Linked DNA regions of Drosophila melanogaster. The protein of the gene in region 2 interacts with the protein of the main gene of each other region in a pairwise test. Each region holds a gene or a part of one and is shown on either strand. Other genes may lie near its edges.

Region 1 (5,856 bases), on a different chromosome or scaffold from region 2:
TGGTAGCTCCTGAAGTCCTTTTCTGTTTTCAGTCAACCGAAGGAAGCTTCCTCTTTCCTCCTCTTTCGATTCACGCCCCCAAAATAAGGGGGCGCAACCATTAATTTTCATTCATAAATAGTTGGAAATTGTTTCCGGCTAATTGATGGATTTGATGGCACATACCTATGCAGACACACACACACACACGCACTCACACTTACGAATACTGGAAGAATGGGGAAGAAGTGTTCAAAGGGCAGGAACAAAACAAAAAAGTGACACACCTTGGCAAAGGCAAAGGCAGCGGATGAAAGGAGAGACAGAGAGAGAGAGCGAGCGAAGGAGTTCTGGACAAGTAACGGGTCAGCAAAGTAGAGGAACTTATAAGGACGGCGGCTGAGGCCGTATGCATTTGATTTGGGTGCGGCAAAAATAAACAGGATATATGGGCGGAGAGATAGAGCGGGAGAGACAGTGAGAGCGCAGGCTGCAGCGAAAGCGCAGCAGTCAGCTGAGCGCGCCACAAGATATGCAATGGCTATTGAGCGCCACAGAGAGAGAATGGGAGCCAGAGAGCGAGCTTAACTGCAAGCTGGCGTCGTCGTCGACGGCAACTGCGCTGCCTAAGCAGGGCCGTCTCGAAGGGGTCCCTCCGAGATCAGGGGCTCCAATAATCTCTCAGAAATCCTACTACGGAAATTAAAGAATTTCTTTTAAAATAAATAAATCCGATAATTGCACTAGAAAATTTCAAGTCTTGTAACAAGTTCTCGAACTTCTACCATTTGAAAATCTACATCTAATCAAGGGAACTTTGTGCCACATTTGTACGAACTAGCTTTAAGGAAACTTTTATATGGAAAACAGGTCAATAAATCATTATTTTTGGGGATCGACTCCCTCTGAAGAAACCGCTCCTGTGCGGCGTTTTTTAGGTTAAATGGCGGCTGCAGGCAGCGAAATGAAAACTGCGATGCCGGCGCTGCACGAAACGCAGCTGCATGGACTTCTGTGTGCTTGTGTGTGTGTGTAGGCGGCAAATATATATCAGAGTGTAGAGAAATTGAGATTTCGCCGACTGCAAGCCGCCCCATTGAGCTCCGTTTTACTATTCGCACACATACGAATGCAGGCGAAAAATCGACTTTGGGTGTGGGCACTTTTGCAAATAAAATGGTGTAACTGTAACTGTAACTACATATCCGTAGCATTCTTCTCTGTTCGCTTACATTTATTCGCCAGCGCCGCAAAGCATACAACACCGATTTTCCCAACTCGACTCGAAAGAAAATGGTTCTGGAACTGGGACTGGAAAATGTTCTTCGTTGCAAATGATGTAGTTTCAATTTGAAAACTGAATTGAGCACGCACACACTAAGGGTTTTCGAACTGATTTCGATACTGATTCGGATTCCACACTACGTGCAATTGGACACACGTACATGTATATGTGTATGTGGGCGTAGTTGCGTGAGTATGCAAGATGTGTGTATTTTGATACCGATATACAACAATTCAGAAACGACGACAATACGACGAGAATCAAAAAACACAACTTGCTGCCGGAGAGTGCAAGAACTAAATGATTAAAGTGTTCGATTGCCGCCAGGATAACTGCAGCCAGGACCCGTGACAGCGCTGCCGCGCCGCAGTCCGCGGCCCCAGCGGCAGAGCTCCTCCTCTCCTCCAATTGGCGTACAGTTGAGCACGGCCCTGCAGAGGGCGGGAGGGGGGCGGTGGCGAATGCACAGCATAACTGCGTAGTTTTGCTCTCGCATGCACAGTGGGACAAATTCAAACATTGAGCGCGAACTTTAACCCTTCTACTTTCTTGTGTTGCAAATATAGATAATAATATTAGACTGACCTGACATATGCTAAATATGTATTGTTATATCCAAAATGTTGTTCTATTTTATTTGAAATAATGGATTTCGGTCCCAACTAAACTCAAAAGACAACCTATGCAACAATTTGTAAATGTATAGAAATAAGTAAATGCACCTGACACGTTTCAGGATAAGCTTAAATGCCATTGCACATCAGTGAGATGCAGAAGTGCTGTTTTATTTTCAATATACAGCTTGGGCACAGTTGCACCATTGTACCATGCGAGAAGTAACGGTCGCGAAGAAGAAGGCAAATAATAAAAAGCTGCAGCCGCAAGTTGCGCAGCCTGCAACAGCTCCGGCAACATAACGGTACTCGTTCGCTCGCTCTCTCTTTCTCCTGGCTCGGCACTTAACCGATGTACCCTACATTTGGCTTCGCAAAACATAAACAAGGAAATGCAGCCGTGAACACGAAACGAATTGCGGTAGGTTCTCCGTTCGGCAAAGAGCGAGCTCCAAAAGAGGCGAAGAGAGCCGGGGCTCGTAAGCCGGCCGCATTGCTGTTGTTGGAGCTGAGAGAGCCAGCACGGCACCCAAACAAACACTTAAGCAACAACAACAACGGCTGCTGACTGAAGGGAAGGTGCCAGAGGGGCTTTAAACCCAAGAGCGCAAGCTAGAAAGAGCATCAGAGAGAGAGAGAGCAAGGCAGGAGCGTAGGACGAGCTCAACTTGACATCATCATCATTTGTGTCAAAAGACCATTGAACTTTGCGAGCGGATGGAACAGAACAGCTCCACCCCCATCCCGCTGCCTACAAGTATGCAACAATACCTCGCTCTCCTTATTTATATGCGGTTTGTTTTGTTGCTGCTTGCACACCATCACAATAACAGCAACCCACATGCATGCACTCACTTTGCATAGGTGTTGGGGCCCAATGCATCTCAAAATGTTGCGCTTTTAACCCTTACCTAACTGATCAGACATGTAAGGCCCTTTCATGAAAATGTCCTGTGTTTGGGAAATCGGGAAAATCCCCACGATGTAGTTATAAATGACATACTATAGATTTGTGTACAATAAGTGGCTGTGTTAAATCTTCTTTAGCGAATAGGTTTTTATGTAATTCATTCTTGTTGCCTTACCTTACTTGTGATGGATAATGGTCGTGTTCCATTGATGTTCAATAATATAACGCCCATTGCAGGATTCCTGAATAGGGTTCAGATATGGGTTCCTGGCACTACGGCCTTGAGCTGAAGATGAATGTTCTTGCCTCTGCGGATGTGCATATAAAATTCGGTTAATTTAATTATTTAAATGAATAATTGATTTTCAGCTTACTGGTGCTTCCCACTGCGACTGATTCTGACGTGAGCCGCCAGAGTTCCAGCTTTGGTTGTCATAAAAGCCCCTAGATTGGTTGGGATAAAGCCAAGATAGCGGTGGTTGTGGTAGATCCCCTTTATTGGGCTTCCTGTTGTTGTTCCACGCTAAGGAAGGCTGCTTGATCTTGTTGCCGTGCTTCTCCTCGATGTTCGGGGACACATTCTCGCATTTAACTTGAACCTTGTACCACGAGGCGTCTGTATGCTTACGTTTGATGGTCATATCCTCCTCGCTGGTGGAGTCATACACGTGGCCCTTGATGGGTCTCTTTCTCTGACAATTGTTGACTTTCTCTGGCTCTGGTCCTCCTGTTAATACCCCTGGAATTTGCGGATGTGCCTTACGTCGTTGGCGCTGATATTGCCTTCTCTTGTTGCGAGTGTACCTGGGGATCTCACCCACAAAATCGCTTTGATTTTGCATTCCTTATGATGAAGTTGTAAACGATGAATTCGAAGAATCGACACCACGCTGTCGAAAGCACAGCAAGTAACACGTTGAGTTGCTAACACTGACAGACTACTTTGGCGACTTACCAGCACTGATCGATTAATCATGCAAAAAGTTTTTCTCGTATTGATCGAAACTTCCTTTCGTCATGAGCATTATCAAGATAAGAAATCGTTTTAATTGCATTCGGCTTCAAGTGTTCCCCTAAGGAACAGGAGTTAAGAATTTCCAGCTTTTGTTTGAAACAGATGGACATGAATTTATAACCTTGCCTGGTCACACTGAATTTTTAAAGCATCTCCTTCCGTTATTACAACCATCCATAGTGTTAAAAAAAAGCAAGACACAAAAGGCAGTTATGTAAATGTTACAATTTTTGATGTTTTATTCGTTCGATTTATCAACTACTGTTACGGTAATTGCATATTAAATTGGTTGTTGTTCTGTTGTTGCTTAAACTTTAATAAGTGTACTTGGTTTTAGCTGCGGCTGAATTTAATTATATTTGTACAAAATATATATTTACTTTTAGCTTTGTCAATGAACAACATGTTTTGCATTCATTTTGGTTTTCTACTCGCTTTCCACGTTCCAAAGTCCAGCTTAAAACTTAATTCTGTTGGTTTTGCTGTTCGATCTGTCGGTTCGGTTTTGTTTTTGTTTTTGTTTGGTTTTCTTTTGTTTCGTTTCACTACAATAACGCTTAACAAAATAGAATTATTAACTATTACTAGGCGCGTTTCGTTTGTTTTTGTTGTTGTTGTGGTTGTTGTTGTTGTTCTTGTCGGTTGCTTATTGCTGCACGTTAATCTTGTCACTTCGAAAAAATTTAACTATGATTTCTACGTTGTTTAGTTTAATTCATCGTGTATATATATAAAAATATATATATATTATATATCTTTATATATACCAATATATAGTTATTTATAGTTAGGCATGTAATTATGCTTACTTTAATTATATGCATGTTTGTGTCCGTGTCTTCCCGCCTACGTAATTGTATTATTTACATCGTTTTAATAATTAACAATACATATGTATGCATGTGTACCAATTTATAATAATTACACTTATGTAGTTGCACTGCACAATAAAGTTGCGCAAATTCTCCATCGGCATTCGGCACTCGTCATTTTAGTGATAACTTAAAATTTGTCTACAATTTAAATGTTTGTTTTCGGTTTCATTTGTCGAATGCGAGCGAATGCCTTGTTTCCCCAGAACCATTACTAATATTAATTTAATATTCTTTCTTACTTTGTTTTGCTTTCCGTTTTGTTTTTCGTTACATTTTTGCTTTGATTTTCGTAGTTTCGATTTCGTACATGCCAAAATAAAAGTCAACAAGAAAATGCTGGCTGCTCAACTCGGTCAATATATGAATGTATTCCAGAATCCTACCATCCTACCATCGTACCATCCTATCCCAATCCCCACTCATTTTCAAATTCTGCTGATTGAAGTTGGCTTAAAGTAGTTTACAGCGCTCACTTTTTGGCATTTAAAAATATATTTCTTGTATACTGGCGGCTATATGTACAGCTTATATAACTATTTCGAGGGCAAGTCTATTTCGATTGATTTTTAACTCGTTTAAGTCTACTAATGCACTATTAGTTGTTGCGTCTGTGTGAGAGTTTTGAGGCACCCATTATGAATTTATGAATTATGTTGGGAATAGACTGTGGATGAGGTGGTTTTATGGATGGGTTGAAAGAAATAAAACCAAAAGAGAAATACAATTGCGTGTATATATTTGAAATATATATTAATATAAATATATATTGTTTTCATTCATGTATTTTGTTCTAAAAACGTGTTGTGATTGCTTTTTAAAAATTAATTTAAAATTAATAAAATAGTTGCGTTAAACATAATTCATATAGAAATATTATAAAGAATTTATAACTATAACTTTTCTTTATATATGCCATAATATGTATAATTATATTTGCTAACATTTTTCTTTACCAAGGCTGCAAAGTAAAATTAACTAAAACTTAAACAATTTAAAAAGCCGTTCATCTTCCTTACTGTACGCATACGAAAACAAAATTCAACTAAAATGTTTATGTTTTTGGGTAACAGGAAAAGGGGGTAGGGTGGGCGGGGGGGGGGGGGGGTGGGCTGGTTGGGTTTTCGTTTTTGAGCTTACAGACTAGACGTAGAGCTAATATAACTTTTAATGTGTGTTTT
Region 2 (6,138 bases):
CGAGGACATGACTCCGCCGCCGCCGCCGGCACCATGTCAACTTACCTTCTTGAAATGCATCAGCGTGTCCGAACTGTTCTCGCACATCTCCGTGATCAGCGTAACGCCAGTGATCAAAATTCCTGTAGCAGATAATATTACGAATTAGTTTGATCATCGTCGATAAACTCATTTTACTGTAGGTATGCTTACCATGATTCTTCTCGCTGAGCAGGGAACGCGTGGCCGGCAAGAAGATCTCCATTAGCTCGGGCACACGGCGAATGACGCGAAAGGCGCACAGCGTCGCCTTCTTGCGAATGTACGTGTTCGGGGACTTCATCAGACGCTCCACCTCGCTGGCCAGATCTCGGGCCATCTCCGGTGAGGCGATCGCACCCAGAGTGCATAGGGCTAGGCCCACGACGAACTGCGTCGAGCTGTTCAAGTCGCTGCAATTGAGATTGTGTTATAAGTTAGTGCATTAAGTGCAAAATTAGACCGCCCACTAAAGCTTACTTCTTCAAGCAGTTGGTGATAAGCAGGTGGACATCCTGCCGCTCATCCAGCAGCAGCATGGCGCCCAGGTAGCCGATCCGCTTGTCTGTGAACCGCGTGCTGGCCGTCAGCTTAAGGCACTCCAGTTGGCCAAAGTGAGCCGGATAGCCGAGCATGTGTATGTACAGCAGCTTGGCAATGTTGCGACAGCTGTGGGCGAATATATATATATATATAGTATATACATATGTATATTGCAACCGGGTGTAGATGACTCACCGCCAGACGGAGTCCTCCTCGCGGAACGTGCTCCGTATGTAGGCGCACTCTTTGTTGACCACCGCCCGCTCCTCGGCGGCGGTTCTGGCGGCGCGAATCTGTCGGATGAGGTCGCGCAGGCGTGTGGGCGTAGGCATTCTGACTGTGGGCGAGAAGTGGATGTGAATATGTTAATTAATCGGGTTTTTGTCTGTCTGGCCGCTGATCTTTCTCTCTTAACCCCTGCCTGTATCCTTCGTTTCAGGTCATTAATAGAACTATAACTATATATCTGAATGAATAAGGAGTGCAGCGTACTTGTAGCCACCTTTTGGGTGATCACAAGCACACGATCATCTTCTTATTGGAGCAATCTACCAAGTGGTGTTCACTGTCTTGGACTTACCTCTCTCCACCGCCTCTGTGAATGCTTGCCGTATGGTGGCCATATTGAAGGCTGGATTAAATCTGCCGGAGGAAGAGGTTAAATGGGTTTATATGGGCATAATTCTAGGGATGTTTGCACTGCTGTTTAGGATCCTACCCATGCTCGGAGTTCATTGTGGCGACGAGAAACGTTGAATCACTTGTGTGGCAGCCTTTTTTTTGCTCCTTCTTTTACTGGTTCGTATTTTTATTTATATTTTTGTTATTATTATTATATTCTATTACGTCTGGTTTTGTTAACTATTTGCCGGCTTATGTGCTCTTCTGTTTTCTTTTTGTTGCTGTTGCGGCGGGGCAACAACACAAATTAGCGAAACGAAATAACGGTTTTTCCTCTGCAGATCTTCCGCGCACACACACCTGCACTCCCACACAAACGCACACACACGCGCGCACACACACACACAGGGAATAACAGCCGGCCGCTATTTTGTTGCACTTGCTCTCCTACTCTCTATCCTTCTCTCGCTTGCTCTCTTTCCAAGCTAATGGAATTGGAAAAAATAAGCTGAATAGTTTAAATAAAAGCAGGTACAATTACCGCTGACATAAAGTAGATCGCTGTTGTTATGAAACTGACATCTCAGATGCGTGCATGGGTGTGGGTGTGTGTGAGTTGGCTCAAACAAATACGTTTGATCTCTCTTTCTGGCCAAGGCAACAACAAATTACTGTGCTTTATTCACTTTAGTTTGGAGCGCAATGCAAATTGATTAAATGATTAATGCACACACACGCACACACATTAATAGAGACATTCATACGCGCGCAAAGGGTTTCCAATTGGAAAAGGAGAAGCAGTAAGCCCGAAAAATCCAACTTGTTTACTGATGTCCACTTAATATTTTATTAAGTGAACTGGGCAAAAAACGAAAACAGCTGCCAGCGATAGCATAACTGACATACATACATACATATCGATTGCATTAAAAAGTCATGAAATAACGTCACTCCTATATACCCTATAGTATATATTTAACACGTAGGGTTTTTTTCTTGCGAGCTTTCCTCGTTTGTTTTCAATGTGATTTTTCGCCTGCTAATTTATGCGATTCGCTGGAAGGCCTACACACACTTGCTCACGCACACACACACATATATACACTCATGCATGCCTTTTGGGCCAACAAGAAAAGGGCAGGAAAATCTATGGCACACTTTTCAACGGGCATTTCCGTTTTAACAAATTGGATGCATTCGCGCACTTGGCGGCGTTACGTTTTTTTTGTTAATGAATAATCAGGAAACACGTTAGCTTTTTTCAACTATAAAATTTAACAACGCGACAAAAACTAAAAAAAAAATTTCAACACACACGGCCCGTCGTCGCAAGTACACGCACACACCTTCGCTTTTAACTGGAATGATTCTGCAATTGAATAAATGCCTATTCTAGCACTGCATTTACGCTTTAGCACATGTTCGCTGGGCCAACTTGGCGCTGGTTAATCGCTATTTTAAACGCCACAAAATCAACGTAACAAGTAAAAAAAAATGTTTCGTCGAGAATATGTTGATGATGAGCGCAACAGTGGTAGTGGGTGCGAGCGAGAGCGCGATATTTACAAGCAGTGTGCGCAAAAGGCATTAACGCCTCGCGCTGATAGGCGTTAGCGCATTTGATGGCACAGTGGGTAGGTATTCAATGATTTATCAACCAAACAAATAGTTATACGGAAAATATCAAGACTGAGGCATAAATCATTACAAATTAATTGTGTTTATCTGAGAGATAAGTAACAGTTTGAGTTTAATATTCGTTCAGTTAATTTGATTGCCTTATCAAAGTAAAAGATGCACTTAATTATATTTCCATGGCATTGCATTCGAACCGCAACAACTCACATGGAATGCCAGTAGAGAAGGGGCAGTTTTACCAAAATAAAAGAGATAATAGGGGGACAATAAATTGCATTTACACAGGGTGATTCAACGATTTTCTTTTGCCACACCACAGCACAAATAAAAAAAAAATACCGCTATGCAGAGCGGTCAATGGACGGTCACACTGCGATAACGTCATTTTTGAAAAACACTTTCAAAAGTCTCATTTTCTAAAGATCGACTGGCGAATCTTTAAGGGTATGAACGAGCACCGGGCGGGATTTCATCTCACCTGCGATTGTTCTCCGGCGGCAGAACGCTCCAGTCCTGCTCGTAATACGGATACATGGTGGCTTCTCACTGGAGCACGGAACTAAACCGAATGGAATGGGAGCGGGAGCGCGTTCGGGTATGGGAATGGCAGCGATAAGCGGCGAGTGCTTCACATAGGCCTTATCTAATGTACACTAATAATTAACAGGTAACGCTCTTCTTTTCTCTAGCTCTGGCTCGAGGTCTAGCTATCTAGCCCTTGCTGGCGGCCGATCATTTCCAGTCCGAGCGGTGGAAACTCCTGCGGAAGACTGACGATTCCAGTGCCACTCACCAGGTGTTGTTTTTAGTTCATTTTCATTTTCCTCCGCCTTTGCTTTTTGGTGGCACACACAGCACTTATCTATCGGACTGATAATGGTAATAATAATGCTCCCCCCGCCGTGAGAACACCACAATCCCGTCTGTTTGCTGGTTGTTTCTTTCCGCGGTTCGGTGTCGTTCGGTTCGGATAAGCGGAGCCCCATTGACAACCGCCATATCGAGGTGTACTACGAGTGCAGTGCTGTTAGATAAAGAAGCGACTCTCCCGATTTTGGTGGACCTCGAATCGCCCACACACTTTGTGGCTAACGATTAACCATAACAGCTGCGAATGGATTCAGTTTTATTACATTTTTGGCATCCAAATACCCATGTATCTGGGTTATTAACAGAACAAAGTACTTCTTCAAATACATCTTCAAGTACTTCTGAATTTATAGTTCTTGCACTTAATTGGCTAATAAGCATTGCGTTCTTTGTTATTCTAACAATAGTATTTGTAATTCGTTGTCCTATGCAGAAGTCTCACAGCTTTCTAACATTGTTTTCCTCATTTTCTCAGCAGTAGTTAACCGAAAAGAAAGGTCTTTGCAAATAATGACAACGCATCTTTACAATTGGTATCTCGCAATCTCGTCTGGCTAATTACAAATAAGCGTTATCCTAAGCCCCTAACTTACAAAAGTACATGTCTAATTAAAGCCAGTGGAGGGCCGACTACCAGGCCCAGATGTCTTCTGCTTGATCTTCTAATCGTTTTCCCGCGGCGGCCGCACCACCGCATGTCGTTTGATGGCCTCCACCAGCCACTTAATGCCCTCGTCCACGCCCTCGCCGTGCAGCGCGGATACGGGAATGGTGAGGCAATCTCGCCGCCCGATTAAAGCACCCGCCTGCTGGAAAACTGGCTTGATCTCCCGCACGCCCATCACATCCGGCAGATCCTGTTTGTTGGCCAGGATTAGCAAAGGCACTCCGGACAGCAGTTCGTTCTTGATCATCTTGTCTGTGGGGAAAGAGAATAACACATTTTAGGTGAACCTTTTTCCTTTTACCAGAGATCATCAGAATAGATCAAAACGAGTTTTGTTCAAGGGATTAGTTCGAAGACTGTTTTCGCTTACCAAATATCGCTTTGGACTCTTCCATGCGCTCCCTGTCGTTGGAATCAATCACGTAGATGACGCCATGCGACTCCTGGTAGTACTTATCCCAGAGAGATTGCAGCTCCTGCTGGCCACCAAGATCCCAGAAGTTGAGGCGTACGCCCTGCACGTCGATGGTGCCGATGTTGAGGCCCACCGTCGTCGTGATCTTGCTCGGATTGAGGCCCTTATAGTTACGCGTAAACGTGGTCTTGGCGGCCTCCAGGTAAGTCTACGTGGGCACAGGTGTTAGTTTCCGATTGGACATGAGGCTTTCATTGGATGATTCAGCTGCCTACCGTTTTGCCAGCATTGTCCAGGCCCAGGATTACCACGCAGTAGTCGTCCTTCTGAGTCATGTATTTGTAGAAGCCGTGCATCAATGTGTACATTGTATTGTGTTTTTGGCCAACAAAAACAAAAACTTAAATTGTTGACTGAACTGCTAGCGATGGCACTGCCAGCGGCTAGGGCGATGCGATAGTATCGATCGGGCAAGTGTCACTTATATCTATCTAATTATTAGGGGGATGTCTATAAATTATATTTTTAAGTATTGCACAGTTCTGTTAAGGTAATAAAAATAAATTATTCAAATTTTCTCTGATTGCCCCTGATTTTTATAAACCATATTGTAGTATTTTGATAAGAACATTCGAAATAATGGTCCAAATATGGAATGTCATACCTCGTTAAGCTCGTAATAAAATTTCAAATCAAACTGTGTTCAAAAATGCAAATTCAATTTTTTGACCATTTTTTGCAAATTTTGATGATGTTTGATGACCATTACCAATCCACTACCGATTCGCGTTCAAATTTGGAAAAAGCTATCGCTTTGTTATTTCTACCAATTTGGTTTTCTTACGTCTTAAGAAAAACGCAATATATGCAATCCATCCCTAAAAGGGACCATACTCTATAGCATTTTCTTATTAGCAGTCTGGCAACCCTACACACCCGTACGCTTGTGTGTGTCCGTGTGCGTGCGTGTTTTTTTTTTCGACTTTTCCATTATAGTTTTTGTGGCTTGCATATTGAAAAGTGATTTCACATAAGAATTGATTCGCCACAAATAACAGATAAGCTATGTCGCTATCAAGCCTGCTGCCCACGCCGACGAACGCGATCTGGGATCGGGAGGACGAGCGTCGCCTGGTCGCCCGCGGAGCACCAAAGATCGGAGCCCTGGTCTCCGCCAAAATCGCTGCTCCGCCGTACGGACAGCGTAAGGATTGGGTACCACATACGGATGCGGACTTTGGCGATGGCGGCGCCTTCCCGGAGATCCATGTGGCGCAATATCCACTAGGTGGGTTCCCGTTCGTGCTAATCCCACTTTCTCTGTGCTTGCAAACAATGTTGTCGCGGTTTTTCGTTGGTAATGGTG
Region 3 (4,865 bases), on a different chromosome or scaffold from region 2:
AAAGACTGCCGCCCACAAAATTTCTGACAGTGTTTATGCAGTCACCCATCCGGTAAAGCGTCCGAACAGCACCAATAGCAACAATACCCACCAAAGCAACAATAACAATAACAATGAAGGCGTGGATGACGAACTGCTGCACTTGACCGTTTTGAAGAACATTGACTTTAAGTTTGATGATAGCCAAGCATCTGAGGATTCCTGCAAGGCGAAAGCATCTGCTCTTCCCGTAGCGAACGAATGCTTTGTACAGCCAAATCTGGAGAAGGAGTACGAGGATCGCTTTCAAGCGGCGGAAAAGGCTAGTCGTCTTTTGCAAAAGTATGCGACGCTGGCCAAAATCGGGCATTCGCCCAGCAAGGCGTTGCCCGCACCAGCGCGTCTGGAACCCATGATTCAGTCTGTGGCCACGTCCAATGAGTTGCAGCCCGAGGGAGGCACCATGAAAAAGTTCGCCTCCCTACCACGCTTCAAGAAAATTGACTTTTCGCCGCTGAAGATGAGACTCAATAGTGTCCTCCAGAGAAATCCACCTTCGCCGCAGCACTAAAATGGATTCTCCGTTTTCCGTAACCATGTTTAACACTTCGCTGTGGACACAAACTGCTTTTTAACCATTTCGCTATTTATGTTGTAGTTTCTTGTGAATGTGATCTGATTAGTTCGACAAGTTGATTATTATGTTATCCGAGTATATAATACGCTTTCCCACGATGCACTTAGTATTAAGCCTTATATGTATGGTCATCCTGCTTTGTCAAATGTATTTTAACGAACCATATCCGGATCCACTTGGGGGGTCCCCTAGTATTACTACTGTTGTGAACCAACGATGAATGTCTAAGAATATGCTCAATTATGAAAATTTACAAAAACGCTTTTATACGTATTAAACCAAAAACCACATTGTTGACTCATTTAGGCGCCTTGTTGTTAAAGAAAAACTAAATTTAGCTAAACAATTTTCAATTCTACAGATGATTAATCGTCTACCAAAATGGGCTTACGCCGCATCAGATATTTTTTGGCGGCGTAGCCTGAACTACGCTTTTCGGCTTCGCATAACATATCAGAGATTAGTTAAACTTACAATAAAATGCTTCAAGATAGCATAACCAATGCTGAACTGTACCGTGACTAAACCATAAGCTTACAAATAAAATATGCCACAAAAATGAAGTAAACTTTACAAGCAAATGAAAAGGTGTTTGTTTGTTTTCAAGAAGGAATCACTTTATTTGCTCACTGTCTTAACTGTAAACCATGGGTCGTCGCCGTTCGTTTATAAACTCCTGTTCCACTCGCGAATCCTTGTGCACCACATAGAAGAGCAGAGCGCCACCGGAAACGAAAAACCCCTTTTCGGCGATTATCTCGGCCAGCTGCTTCTCCTCGTCCACCTTGTGGACACAGCCCACCTTGCGGTTCTCGTAGTAAACGTGCACGTTACCCAGGCGGTAGTTGTGTGCCTTGTCGTATGGCAGCTTTTCGGTGAGCAGCGTCGCCAGGCAATCCCGCATGGTGGTGGTCTCCGGCAGCTGCTGATAAAAGTCGCTGTACAGGAACTCGGGGTAGGAGAACGCAGCCGGCCAGATCAGAGTGCTGCCGTCCTCGTCTAGGTGCACCGGATGGTCCTCCAAAGGCAGAAACTTTGGATAAAGGAGCTCCTCACTGAGGACGTCCTTTTTGCCAACTTTTTGATCGTCAAACTTAATGGCGCGCTGCTCGATGGCGTCGCGGAGTCTGTGGAAGCGTGTAAGCCGTCGCTTTGCCTCGGCAGCTTCCTTGCGCTGATTGCGTTCTATCTCGAGCTACGGAAATAACTTGTTTAATGTGGGTTCCTATCCAGTTGGATCACGTATTCTAACCTTCTTCATCTTGTTCTTGTGCAGCAGCGCGATGGCCACCTCGTTGTCGACGTCCACCTCGAGCAGCTCCTCGCACATCTGGGTGCACAGATCGAACCTCTCCAGCTCGTACGCACACTGTGCCGACCGCCAGCGGGCCTTTGTGTAGTCTGGCTTGTAGAACAGAGCTCGCTGGGCGTCGCTCAGCGAGGATCTGTAGTTCTTGATGAAGAAGTGAGCCGCCGAGCGGTTGTTGTAGAGAACGGCTAGCACGTCGGGATTGTCCGTCTTGGTCTTGATGCCCTCGGTAAAGCTGTAGATTGCCATGCGGAACTTCTTGTGCTTCATGTAAAAGTTGCCATCCTCCTTGTAGTTGAGCGCCAGCTCGTCGCGCGTGTTCTCCTCCGGATCGTACTTGAGCTTCTGCAGACCCTCGAACATCGGATGCACGTCATCCCCTGGCTGAGGAGCACGTTTCATGAAGAACGGGTGCTTGTCCATCTCCTCCTGCCAGCGGTCCTCCGGCCAGCCCTCCTCGTAACGTTTCTTCTCCAGGCCATCGATAAACGCATCCAGTTCCGCGTCCAGCTGGGCCGCCAGCTCCAGACGCTCCTCATCCGTCCAGGCTTTTTGTGCCGCCATTTGTTTCATTTGGTCTAATCAGAAACAGTGTGACCGCAGACGAACCGTTACAATATACCAACTGGCCAAAGGTGCCGCACATTTCCTAAAGGTGGCGCCTCTAAAATAAGGGTGGCCCTCCGTCTATCGATAGTCGTACGCTTCCTTCTTTAAACGAGCTAAACTCGGAACGAATTATGATCTTAACATCTTAAATCTTAACATGGTAAAACTTTAAGCCTTTTGACGCTTTACGCAGCTGTTGTGATATATCAGAAACATCGATAGTCGCCATAACATATTGTTATTGTATGAGAGTTTTAAAATTATCGATGCGCTGATGACCCCTTCATCGGCGTTTTCCCACCCCTAATTGGCAGAGACGCGACTGAGCTGGGACGTACCGTTACCGTTGGCAGAGACGCGACTGAGAAATAAAATTAAAACGTCGACGTTCCTTCCTCGTAGAAGAAACCAATCAAAATAAAAACAAACAGAGCGTGCGTTCGCGCCAAATACTTAACAACAATTAGCAAACGTAAGAAGCAAAGTGAGTGTCGTCGGCTGCGGGAGCCCGTGTGCCCAGTTTGGAACTGGGATCCGACCCAGTCCACGTCCGTCTCGTCCCCGCTAAATTTGTAACTCTTGTTTCCCCGTCTTGTCCCCTCAGTGCATACCCTCACGGCGGCCATTGAGATGGACAAGCTGGATGCCAATCTTGAGCAGCAGTTTGATCTCAATCTCATCGAGGCTGTCAAGCTGAACCCAGTGATATACGACAGGTCGCACTACAATTACAAGCACTTTGTGCGCAAGGCCCAGACCTGGAAACAAATCGCCGAAACGCTCGGTGTGCCTGGTAAGTGAAATTCGGCTGGTTTTGGCTACGGGTTTTCTGCTTTCTGTCAGCCGTCTTCGGTCCGTGCCCCAACCAGCCCCAGCCAATTGATTAATTCTGTGCGGGCGCAGGTCGAAGGGGCGGGACAAGTCAGTCGACGACGACGACAGAAAACGACGCAAAAGTGAACGGCGACGCGGCGCAGTAGCTGGCTGATGGTTAGGAAATGGCAGGGGGGGATCTATACGTGTGAGGGTGGGCGCGGGCTGCACCGCTCATAAATTGCATTTTATGCGAACTTTTTTTACTGCATTTATATGGTTGCATTTAGAATACAGTTCATTAGTAATTAAACCTAGGTTAATTTCTATCTGTAAAGATCTGCTCTAAAATGAGCGCCCCTTTCGGGCGCTCGGACTGCGGCCCTGCTTGCTCTGTCGGTGTGCAGACTGTGCTCAGTCGATATTTTTGAAGTTGCTGTACTTTGCCGTCGCGTCGCAGTAGTTGTCTCGCTCGCTCCGCAGCCATTCTGCTTGCGCCAGCGTTTATTTTCGTACACTGCGACTGCGATGTGCGCTGCTCACACACGTATACATGCATACAGCATACAGTGGCAGAAAACAGTTTGGCACGGGTTATAAATACGTATTTATTAGTAAAATAAATAAGTTGCTCAGTTCTTTAGACGAAACTATGGATTTTATTTTAATATTGAATAGGATGAGAATTCGGAAAATTAAAATATAGGGCTTTGGAAAGGTCAATAGATAAGCACAAATTAGAACAGCTGTGTCAACACTTCAGAGTCCCACTGTACATACCGGAGACCGACCAGGCAGCTTTCGTTTCGTTTTCATGAGTATACCAACAAAATGTACCGTTCACCCCACCCCCTCGACGGCCGTTGATCGAACCTTAAATTTTCGGCCAAATCGCTGCACCTCATCCGCTTTCGATTATGCAAGTAGGTGGCTGGAAAGCTGGAGTTGCAGTCAAGTGGAGCCAGCAGCAATGCCACAGGTTTCCGTCTCCTGGCAGCGGGCAGCGGGAGTCGGCGACGTCACAGCCACCGTCACGTCAACGTCTCTGCTGGCGCTGGGAAGCTGCTGTCCGCTGCCTTCCTTCTGCCACCGACGCTGCTGCTGCCAACGGTTTGTTTTGGTTCCCGATTTGATGCTTCTTTGGGTGGGTTTGATGGCATAGTTCTAGTTTCTGCACAGTTCCGGACTACACTAGTCCAGAGCTTCTTGAAGAACCTTCTGTGGAGAACCGCCACGCACAGCTGCGCAGGTGTGCTTGCACCGGTTGTTATGAACAGGTCTTCGAGAAAAAAGCATTTATTCAATGTAACAGAAACAAGATTTTAGTTTATATTAGATTTGTAATATTTTCAGAAACATTTCATTTACTTACGAATCTGGTTTCTTTTTTCTTTTCATTTATAGAGGTATACTTTATCAAGCATTTGACGGGTTACCCTATAAAATAAAATACATACAGTTTGTCAAGAAACTGTTTACACACTGTGAAATAAGTTGAATTTTTGACTTTAAAGCTAA

What was found. Proteins that work in one complex are often made in the same cells at the same time.
Region 1: the proteins of AP-1gamma (region 2) and Rbp9 interact in a two-hybrid assay, tested with the Drosophila melanogaster proteins (one large-scale study listed by BioGRID).
Region 3: the proteins of AP-1gamma (region 2) and Dpit47 interact in a two-hybrid assay, tested with the Drosophila melanogaster proteins (one large-scale study listed by BioGRID).

What each region holds. Positions count from the first base shown.
Region 1 is NT_033779.5:2,952,620-2,958,475, reverse strand, and holds the start of Rbp9 (RNA-binding protein 9), read right to left. Parts: upstream 3,715-5,856; 5' UTR 3,163-3,714; intron 3,097-3,162; 5' UTR 2,969-3,096; intron 1,566-2,968; exon of another isoform or gene 1,212-1,565; intron 1-1,211.
Region 2 is NC_004354.4:9,106,147-9,112,284, reverse strand, and holds the start of AP-1gamma (adaptor protein complex 1, gamma subunit), read right to left. Parts: upstream 3,595-6,138; 5' UTR 3,355-3,594; coding exon 3,299-3,354; intron 2,736-3,298; exon of another isoform or gene 2,298-2,735; intron 1,668-2,297; exon of another isoform or gene 1,297-1,667; coding exon of another isoform or gene 1,280-1,296; intron 1,204-1,279; coding exon 1,142-1,203; intron 899-1,141; coding exon 757-898; intron 688-756; coding exon 499-687; intron 432-498; coding exon 193-431; intron 123-192; coding exon 46-122; intron 1-45. Other genes in the region: Arfrp1 (ADP-ribosylation factor related protein 1), read right to left, coding at 4,353-4,609, 4,728-4,980, 5,048-5,140; Bx42, read left to right, coding at 5,838-6,060.
Region 3 is NT_033778.4:6,659,431-6,664,295, forward strand, and holds Dpit47 (DNA polymerase interacting tpr containing protein of 47kD), read right to left. Parts: upstream 2,689-4,865; 5' UTR 2,499-2,688; coding exon 1,869-2,498; intron 1,812-1,868; coding exon 1,251-1,811; 3' UTR 1,215-1,250; downstream 1-1,214. Other genes in the region: sced (scrambled), read left to right, coding at 1-550; Adf1 (Adh transcription factor 1), read left to right, coding at 3,018-3,018, 3,139-3,327. UniProt on the Drosophila melanogaster protein: May act as a co-chaperone for HSP83.